Caenorhabditis elegans: one gene and its partner. The protein of the gene in region 1 interacts with the protein of each later gene in a pairwise test. Each region holds a gene or a part of one and is shown in the gene's direction. Other genes may lie near its edges.

Region 1 (4,999 bases):
TATCACTCTGGGCGGAGATACTTATGATTATGTCAAGGAACAGAAGGTAAGATTTCGAAAAAAGTGATTTTCCCAGTGAGACCTGAAATTTTTCCAGCCAACGGAATCAATCGCCACCAACGTTTCTCGTCGTCGCCGAACTTCTGCGAATCTCTCAAAATCTGAAGATGATCGGGACAAGCCGGAAAGCCAATCCACGGCTCCAAAGTCAAAAGAGCGTCGTACTTCGGAGCCGCCAGCGTCCCACGTGGCGTTCCACACTCCAGGATCCGCGACACCACACGACATAAACCTATCCATTGAGCATTGCACCTGTCAGAAGATTTTCGACGCGTCGAAGCTGTATATTCAGTGCGAGCTGTGCGCTCGTTGGTACCATGGCGACTGTGTTGGAGTCGCCGAGCAAACTATTTTGGGTTTGGAGCACTGGAGCTGTGAGGAATGTATTGAGGAGCAGGAGAGAGTCAAGGATCAGCCGGCGTTGTACTGTGTCTGTCAGAAGCCATATGATGATACAAAGTGAGTTTTGTTGGCATAGAAATAAGAGAATAATTCAGGTAAATTTGCAGATTCTACGTTGGGTGTGACAGCTGTCAAGGGTGGTTTCACCCGGAATGCGTTGGGACAACACGTGCCGAAGCCGAGCAGGCCGCCGATTACAACTGCCCGGCATGCACTCGAGAGGCTGAAGGCTACGAGTCGGAAGCGTCAGATGTGTCGGGTTCGAGTCGTGTTAGTGTGCAATTAACGTGAGTTCACACATTGTTAGAATTTTCAGTTTTTCGGAAAAATTTCAGACGCGCCGACTATACTCATGTCTTTGAGCTCCTCGAGCTTCTCCTCGAACACCGTATGAGCACACCATTCAGGAACCCAGTAGATTTGAATGAGTTCCCAGATTATGAGAAATTCATCAAGAAGCCTATGGGTTAGTATTTCCGAAACGTCGTCAAACTTTGCATTTGAAATTTTTCAGATCTCTCAACAATAACAAAAAAGGTTGAGCGCACCGAATACCTGTATCTATCGCAATTTGTGAACGACGTGAATCAAATGTTCGAAAATGCAAAAACCTACAATCCCAAGGGCAATGCTGTATTCAAGTGCGCCGAAACGATGCAGGAAGTGTTCGACAAAAAGTTGATAGACGTTCGCGAGCAAATGACCGCCCGTCAACAGATGCTTCTTCTAGCTACTGCTCAACAACAGGACCCGATGAGTTCTATCAGAAAGCGTGTCCAGTCGGAAAGCCAGCGAACTGTCGACTCGTTGGATATCGATTCGGATCAGCTGTTGCCACTGGATGCGAATCTTATGAGACTTTATGATTTTTGAGATTTTTCCTCTTGTTTTTTTATGTTTTTCGTAGTCACACAGTGACTTTTCACTTGTTACGTTGACAATGTTTTGTAAGAATAAAATTTCTTTTCGATTTTCAATGAAAAATGTTTAAAGCACAGGTTCACGGCTAAATAAAAACGTTCCGCTTTATGTGAAAATTCATGACAAATAATCGAATGGAGCAATTTTTGACTCAAACTATAATTTTTAATTACAACACTCTTTAAAGGCGCACACCCGTTTATTTAACAAAAAAAAAATTGTGTCGAGACCGGGTGCCGTATTTTTGGTGCAAAAATCGCATAATTTTGCATAATTTTTTATAATTTTTAGGAAAGAACAAAAAGCGGCAAAATCGACGAAAAATGTATTGAAAGCGTTTGAATTTGCAGTTTTGCCGCCTTGGTTTCCGTTGGAATTGGAGCGCGATTGCACTTTGGTTTCAAAAATTGGTCACGAAACTACATTTTTTAATGCGATAAGGTGCACACCTTTAAAGAGTACTGTACTCTGAAACATTAATTGCTGCTAAATTTCCCCGATTTTAGCTTAGTTTTTCAATAAAAACTCAAATCTAACAATAAAATGCATAATTTTTACCAAATCGTGAGAAAAACTATAGAAAATCGATTAAGTTTATCAGAAAACTAAATGTTTTAACTACAGTACTCTCTCAAGGCGCACACCCGTTCGTACTTAACAAAAGTAATTCGTGTCGAGACCGGGTACTGTATGTTTGGTGGAAAAATCGGATAATTTTGTGTCTTAAAATTATATTAAAACAAAAAAAATTAATAAAAAAGTTTGAACTTAAATTTTTTATTCCCTGTCCTCCCCCCCCCCCCCCCCCGCCTATCAATCTGACGTGTGATCTTGTTCAAAAGTTTATTTATATATATTTTCGGACCATTCGTATAAAGTTGGATGAAATCTTTTGAAGATTGAAACTTCTGGTCATTTCAATTTTTATATCACTTCGTTACAAAATGGATTCCGATCTGAAAAAAGTTCAAAAGAATAGGTAAGCCGGAGCGGTCTTGGAACGAAGAAACAACTTCTATTTTCAGTGATCAGAAACAAGTTTCAAAAAGCAAAACAGCAACTGCGCCAACTGAGCCGTTTAACAGTAAGGCTACTGAGTTGCCGTCAATTCTCAAGCCGAAGTTCCCGTCGGACAAGGTCCTGAAGAAGAAAAAATCCGGTGACATGTTTGATCTTGTAGGACAGATCGTCATCGATATCGTTGATGATAATCCTGACGATGATGACCGACAGGATGAGGCTACAACGGTGGATACTGTACAAGAAGGAATCGGAGCAACGGTCGATGTAACTCTTGTCGTGAGTTTTTGAGGAGCAGAGAGACATTGTTTTAAATGAAAAACAGTGAGCGCTTTTAAGGAGCACAAGAGTCTTTATTGCATTCAAGTTTTTTTTTAGTAATTGGAGAACATGAATCGAATATGAAATAACCGGGTAAACTAAAATTTCAGGAAGACGTCGCTGAAAAAGCACATGAGCCAGCTTCAACTCCAAATGTTGCTGACCGATTGCAAAAACCAGTTGCAAAAGATGATAATAGCGCTCCGGTAGAAGAAGCAAATAGGAAGAAGAAAGAAGGCAAAGACCCCAAGAATTCAGAAGAAGCAAAGAAGAACAGTAAGAAGGGGAAAAACGGCACAGCAAGACGATCCGCGCTGAAAGGAGTCACTATTCCACCGGTGAGCTATCTAGAAAAGGCCAAAAATTTCTGCACGAAGTGGGATTCGAACCCACGCACCCATACGAGTACCAGAAGACCCAGTAAACCATCCGTGCGGTGAGTAACGTGCAGCGAGCGAGAGTATATGAAAAGAATGACAGAGAGTGAGAGAGCTTGCGTATTCAAGAGGCTCCATAGAAAATTGACGAAAAAACACTGGGCTTTTATAAAAATTTAAATTTCCAGGTAGCAGCTTCTTTACCTTGTCCTCCACCCCCACCTCCTTTGAGTGAGCGGAAGAAGAATGTAGGCCCAAAGCCATGCGTTGGTCCAGCACAGAAAAATTTGTCGAGCCAACGGAAGCATAGCTCAAAACGAAACCGAAAAGGGCTCTTGAGAAATGTGGCTAAACTATGGGGCCGAAAGTCGGATGGCATCGCCAATCCGTGAGTTATTCAAACCAGACTGCATCCCTACCGTGAAACATTTTCAGAACTAAAGCAATGCTGTCGAAAAAGTACGTGCCACCGGATTATGGAGTGAACCCTGTCGATTTCATGCCGGACCTTGAATGTTATTTTAGCAAAAACGACATTACTGTTCGTGATAAAAACAAGTGTAGCAAAGGAGAGGTTTTTGTTGAAAAGCTCCCATTTTGGTTGGCACGACTGCCGAGTGACGATGACATTCCGAAGGCTCAAATTCAGGCTCATCGGCCGCTGAAGCAAGCATTTGAAGGAAATCCGTCATTGCTCCTTCCGAAATGCCCAAGAACACTGCCGTTTTGTGAACCGGACTCTGACACACTGGAAAAGTTTAAGCAAGTTGATAAACAGATGGGAACCGATGTACCTGAACAGGCATCGAAAAGATTGTGTACAAACACTTTTTATGGAACCCTAATGTTTGAAAAAGACAAGAGTGCGTCTGAAGAGGTGAAAAAGAAGGTAGACTTTATTGACTAGCAATATATTTTTTGCGAATTTTAAAAGTTTTCAGAAAGAGGAACCAAAGTTGAAGTCTCTCGGAGAAGAGAGTGTGAAAGTGAACTTTAGTTTCCCTCCGAAACCAATCTTGTTTATTTACTCCAGGTAAGCTTGAGACTAAGCCGAAGCCTTATGATTTTTTGCAGAAAAAATCGACCAAGACCACCGGTGAGAGAGGACGACAAAAGCCACAGCTGCAAAAAGTGCCACCCCAAAAACTTGAAACCGGAGCGAACGTTCAAAAAGTGTGAATGGGTGAAAATGAAGAAGGGCGACGAGAAAAAGACTGTGACCAACTCGGCCAACTCGAAATCTGACACGAAATCGGCTTCTTTTTCAGCAGAAGGACGGAAATAGTACTTGTAGCTTAAAATGAATTATTGAAATTGAGGGGAAACAATTTTTCGGAGAAAAACAGGAACTATTATTTAAATTAAAATATTTTCGAGAAACACAGAAACATTTTGTGTAGTACAGTAGTTAATTGAAGGGACCTGCGCGATGTTTTATGCTGGGTCTCGCAACGCGCACACATATAAAATGGCTGTTACCGTAGTTGTTTAAATTTATTTGCTCCGGAATTCGTTTAAAAAAAATTCATTTTTGATCAGTTTATTTCAATAAATATCTCAATTTTTACAGAAAAAAAATGAGTGCACGTGGCCTGAAAGTTGAGATGTACTACAAATTAGCGGAAAAAAATGAAGCAGAGGTAATTTTCGCGTAAATATGTTTTTTTTATTTGAGTTTTTCAGACTAGCGATGTCTCTATACTTATCGACGGACATAAAAGAAAGTTCGCAGTCATCTGCAATGGAATCGGAAGAGAGATGGTGGATTTACACTATGATTCCAAGAAGTTTCCGAGAATTTTGTAAGCCGAACAATTATTTTGTGTTAAATAAATTTTAAAAAAATCAATTTTCAGTTCCCGAGAACGGCATCTCTACGTGATGTTCAGTGAAAGTAC
Region 2 (3,702 bases), about 11 Mb from region 1:
ATCCAACGTATCGACTTGAAATTTTAAAAAATGCTCACTTTTTTGAGGTCTCTACAATGTCCTAAAAAATCTTTCAAAAAAGCCTGTCCATCTCCAAAATCGTCCTCCGCTCCAAAATAAGAAATGGGACTTTTGCTTTTCGAAAAATAGGCGAAAAAATTAAATTGCGATTTTTGGGTCGAAAAAAATATTTTTAGAAAGCTGAGAACACGCTATTTACGAATTTCATGTTCATTTTAGGTGGTTCCTTTTCTGAAATGACCTAAAAATTTAACAAAAAGAACATAATTTTAATTCTCACGTCAATTTTTTATTCGCAAGAAAACAATTGAAGCACTGAGCAACATGCCAAAAAATTTTACGTGAGAATTAAAATTATGTTCTTTTTGTTTAATTTTTAGGTCATTTCAGAGAAGGAATCAATTAAAATGAACACGAAATTCGTAAATAGCGTGTTCTCAGCTTTCTAAAAATATTTTTTTCGACCCAAAAATCGCAATTTGATTTTTTCGCCCATTTCTCGAGAAGCAAAAGTCCGATTTCATTTTTCGGAGCGAAGGACGATTTTGGAGATGGGCAGGATTTTTTGAAAGATTTTTTAGGACATTGTAGAGACCTCAAAAAAGTGATCATTTTTCAAAATTTCAAGTTTTTACGTTGGATATGAAGAGTTTTATGAGCGAAATTGGATTTTTTCGAAAAACGGTCTGTAACTTGGCGGAACATGAAAATATCAAAAATCTTAAAACTAATAAAACGTGGAGAAATATTTTTTACTTTTTATCCAACAAAATTTATCTTTTCAAATTTGATGGGCGTAGGGTTATGACGGGTACAGCAAAGGAGTTCTCAAAATTTTTTGTGATTTTTGGTAAAATGGCTTTGATGTCTCTACTTAACTCTACAAAAAGTTGGTGTATTGAGATAAAAATTAATGAATTAAAAAGAAAAAATATTTCTGATCATTTTGTTAGTTAAACATTTGTTTTCCAGATGTGTATTTTTCGAGATACGTCAGTTTGAAGATGCACAAAAAAAATCAATTTTAAAACAAATTAAAATCATCATTATTGGCAGCAGAGAGTCTCTGCTGCCAATAATGATGATTTTGGGGTGTGCGGCAAATTTGCCGAATTTGCCGAATTTGCCGAGCACGGCAAATTTCAAAAAAGTAGATTTGCCGAATTTGCCGAGCTCGGCAAATTTCGAAATTTGCCGCATACGTCAAAAATTTGACAGTACAATGTTGACTAAAACTGTTGATTTTTTCGCCAAAAATTTAGTAAAATGACAACAAATTGAGTTATTTTGATGTTTAAGCAGACACACTACACCTAACTTGTTCAGAAACCAGAGGTGTGTTAAGAATTCAGTAGTTTTGGTGCTCCAAAAAATATCAAAAAATATATAATTTTTCCGAGTTTGTTAAGCACGGCAAATTTGCCGAATTTGCCGAATTTGCCGTGCTCGGCAAATATTGGAAAAATAGATTTGCCGAATTTGCCGAGCTCGGCAAATTTTGAGATTTGCCGCACACCCCTGGCAGAGACGGTAGACGGCAAAGAAAGAAATGCTATCTGAGTTTGCCATCTTTAGAGTATGACCGGGACTTTGCAAAATGGTCTGGGCCGGAAAGGAAATGAAAACTCGAAATTTTTATTTAGTAACTGATCGTTGAAAGATCACGTACATATTAGATGACAAGTTGCTCCGCTCATATATTGAGTTTCTGCATTTTTCATCTGTAAGGCGCAGGACAACTACATTTTTTGTGGTTCTTTGTTTTAATAATCTTCAAAAATGCCAAAAAAAAATTGATCTCCCCGCCGCGCACCAATAAAGTGGGTCACTTGCCACGAGGCGATTTCCGATCCCCTTTTACAATCGGTATGCAGGGGAGAGGCTCATTCTCTCATTGATTTGTTTTTTTGTGTGTCCTTTTCCCGTTTTTCTTGTTATTTTAAAATTTAATTAAATTCCAGAAAATAACCTCTGCAATGCCCCCAACTGTTGGAAAATCTACCAATAAAGATGGACCGTCGGATTTGATGTCGGCGTTTGAAAATTTGCGATCTGAAACTGCTGGAATCAATAATTTCCTTGAGAAAGTTTGAATTTGAATTGTATCGGCCTTATTAATATTTATTCCAAATTCCAGGGTCCCACCATCGGTTCGATCACGTCCTTGAGCATTTCCAAATTTGACAAGTTTTGTGAAAATCAGGATAAAGTCAACCAGAAACTGATGCTAGCGATTCAGAAAATGTCCATCGAACGTTCGAAGCGTCAGAAGATCCAAGACGCTTTCAACAAAGAAATGCTCGACGCAATCAGATCTATGAAGAAGGCGTTTGCTCGGGAGAAGGAGGAGTTCAGCGATGATTTGGAGATTTTCAAGGAGGAGCTGTTTGAGAAGCTTGATGAGGATAATGAGACCTCTGAAGACGAAGATGAGGAGGAGGAGAATGATGTTTTGGATGCGATCAAGTTGCTCCAAACTGGACTCGATGCTATGAAAGAGGCACAGAGGGAATTTTTCAAGAAAGTGACTGAGGATACTCAAGCCATCCGGAGAAAGGTAATTTTATGAGATGATTGTGTTCCTTACTTGAGGCTTAGGCTTAATCTTAGGCATAGGCTTAATCTCATGTTCGGCAAACGGCAAATCGGAAACTTGCCAGAAACGGCAAATCGGCCAACCGGCAATTAACCGATTCGCCGAATTTGCCGACAAAAAAATTTGTCAATTGCCGCCCACCCCTGGCCCGTAAATTTAGCAAAAAAATTATTCAGATTGGCTCGAAAAACATAAAGTTCAATGTTATCCTTCACGGAAGCCGAATCCCGATGGAACTGGACTCCCTTGACACAATCTACACGGTCGGAATGGCCCTCCTGAAGCACGGTGGCCTCGCACTGCATCGCCAACGTCTCATGCTCAATGACAAGGAGCTTCAGTATAATCAAACTCTTGAGGAAGCTGGAATTAAGGACGGTTCTGTCATCAAGCAACATACTGATGAAAAGTGTGATGAAGATTGTGAATGTTGTTGTTAATTTATTGAACTTTATTGTTGAATGTGGATATTATTATTATTTGATTAAAAGAAAGATAAATGTTTTATTCAAAAAAACGTGAATCAATTAATTTTTCTGCTACCAATTAAATTCATTTCTCCAAATCTCGGCGACCATGTCGAATTTCCGCTCGGACAATTTGATGTCTGAATTCCAAAAACTTCGCATGGAGACTGCAGATATTGGTTTGGCTCTTGGAAAGGTAACACTTATTTTGTTAGCACCTAATAAATTCTACTTTTCCAGAAGCCAGAAAACTCGGGCATTGTATCCGATTCGCAGCTTGAGAAAGTCATTGAAGAGCAGACAAAACTCAACAAGGAAATCATGGAAGCCGTTCGAAAACTGGAAGTCGAGCGAAAGGAACATCAGGCAAATCAAGAAAAATTCAATAAAGCAATGATGGAGGCTTTTCAAAAACATCGTGATGAAATGAAGGAGAGCATCCATTAAGAACGAAATTTCTCGAAAACCAGAGGCTGCTGTACATGAAAATTTGCCGACGAACGACGCGAAAATCCTCTTCCAACTGACACGTGACGGCAAGCGCGAATGGAGTGAAGCTTTGAAACAGTTCCTATTTGAAACCGAACTCGCAATCAAGAAAGATACCCAGTTGTTTCC

What was found.
Region 2: the proteins of F26H11.4 (region 1) and F54D10.7 interact in a two-hybrid assay, tested with the Caenorhabditis elegans proteins (2 studies listed by BioGRID).

The regions. Positions count from the first base shown.
Region 1 is NC_003280.10:14,406,424-14,411,422, forward strand, and holds F26H11.4 (ULP_PROTEASE domain-containing protein), read left to right. Parts: upstream 1-2,188; 5' UTR 2,189-2,327; coding exon 2,328-2,362; intron 2,363-2,408; coding exon 2,409-2,682; intron 2,683-2,834; coding exon 2,835-3,062; intron 3,063-3,081; exon of another isoform or gene 3,082-3,145; intron 3,146-3,289; coding exon 3,290-3,489; intron 3,490-3,536; coding exon 3,537-3,990; intron 3,991-4,042; coding exon 4,043-4,134; intron 4,135-4,175; coding exon 4,176-4,386; 3' UTR 4,387-4,419; downstream 4,420-4,999. Other genes in the region: nurf-1 (DDT domain-containing protein), read left to right, coding at 1-46, 98-519, 570-749, 798-928, 977-1,335; dsb-2 (Double-Strand Break factor), read left to right, coding at 4,679-4,741, 4,785-4,903, 4,958-4,999.
Region 2 is NC_003280.10:3,819,577-3,823,278, reverse strand, and holds F54D10.7 (Ubiquitin-like domain-containing protein), read left to right. Parts: upstream 1-1,982; 5' UTR 1,983-1,997; coding exon 1,998-2,108; intron 2,109-2,158; coding exon 2,159-2,578; intron 2,579-2,793; coding exon 2,794-3,057; 3' UTR 3,058-3,130; downstream 3,131-3,702.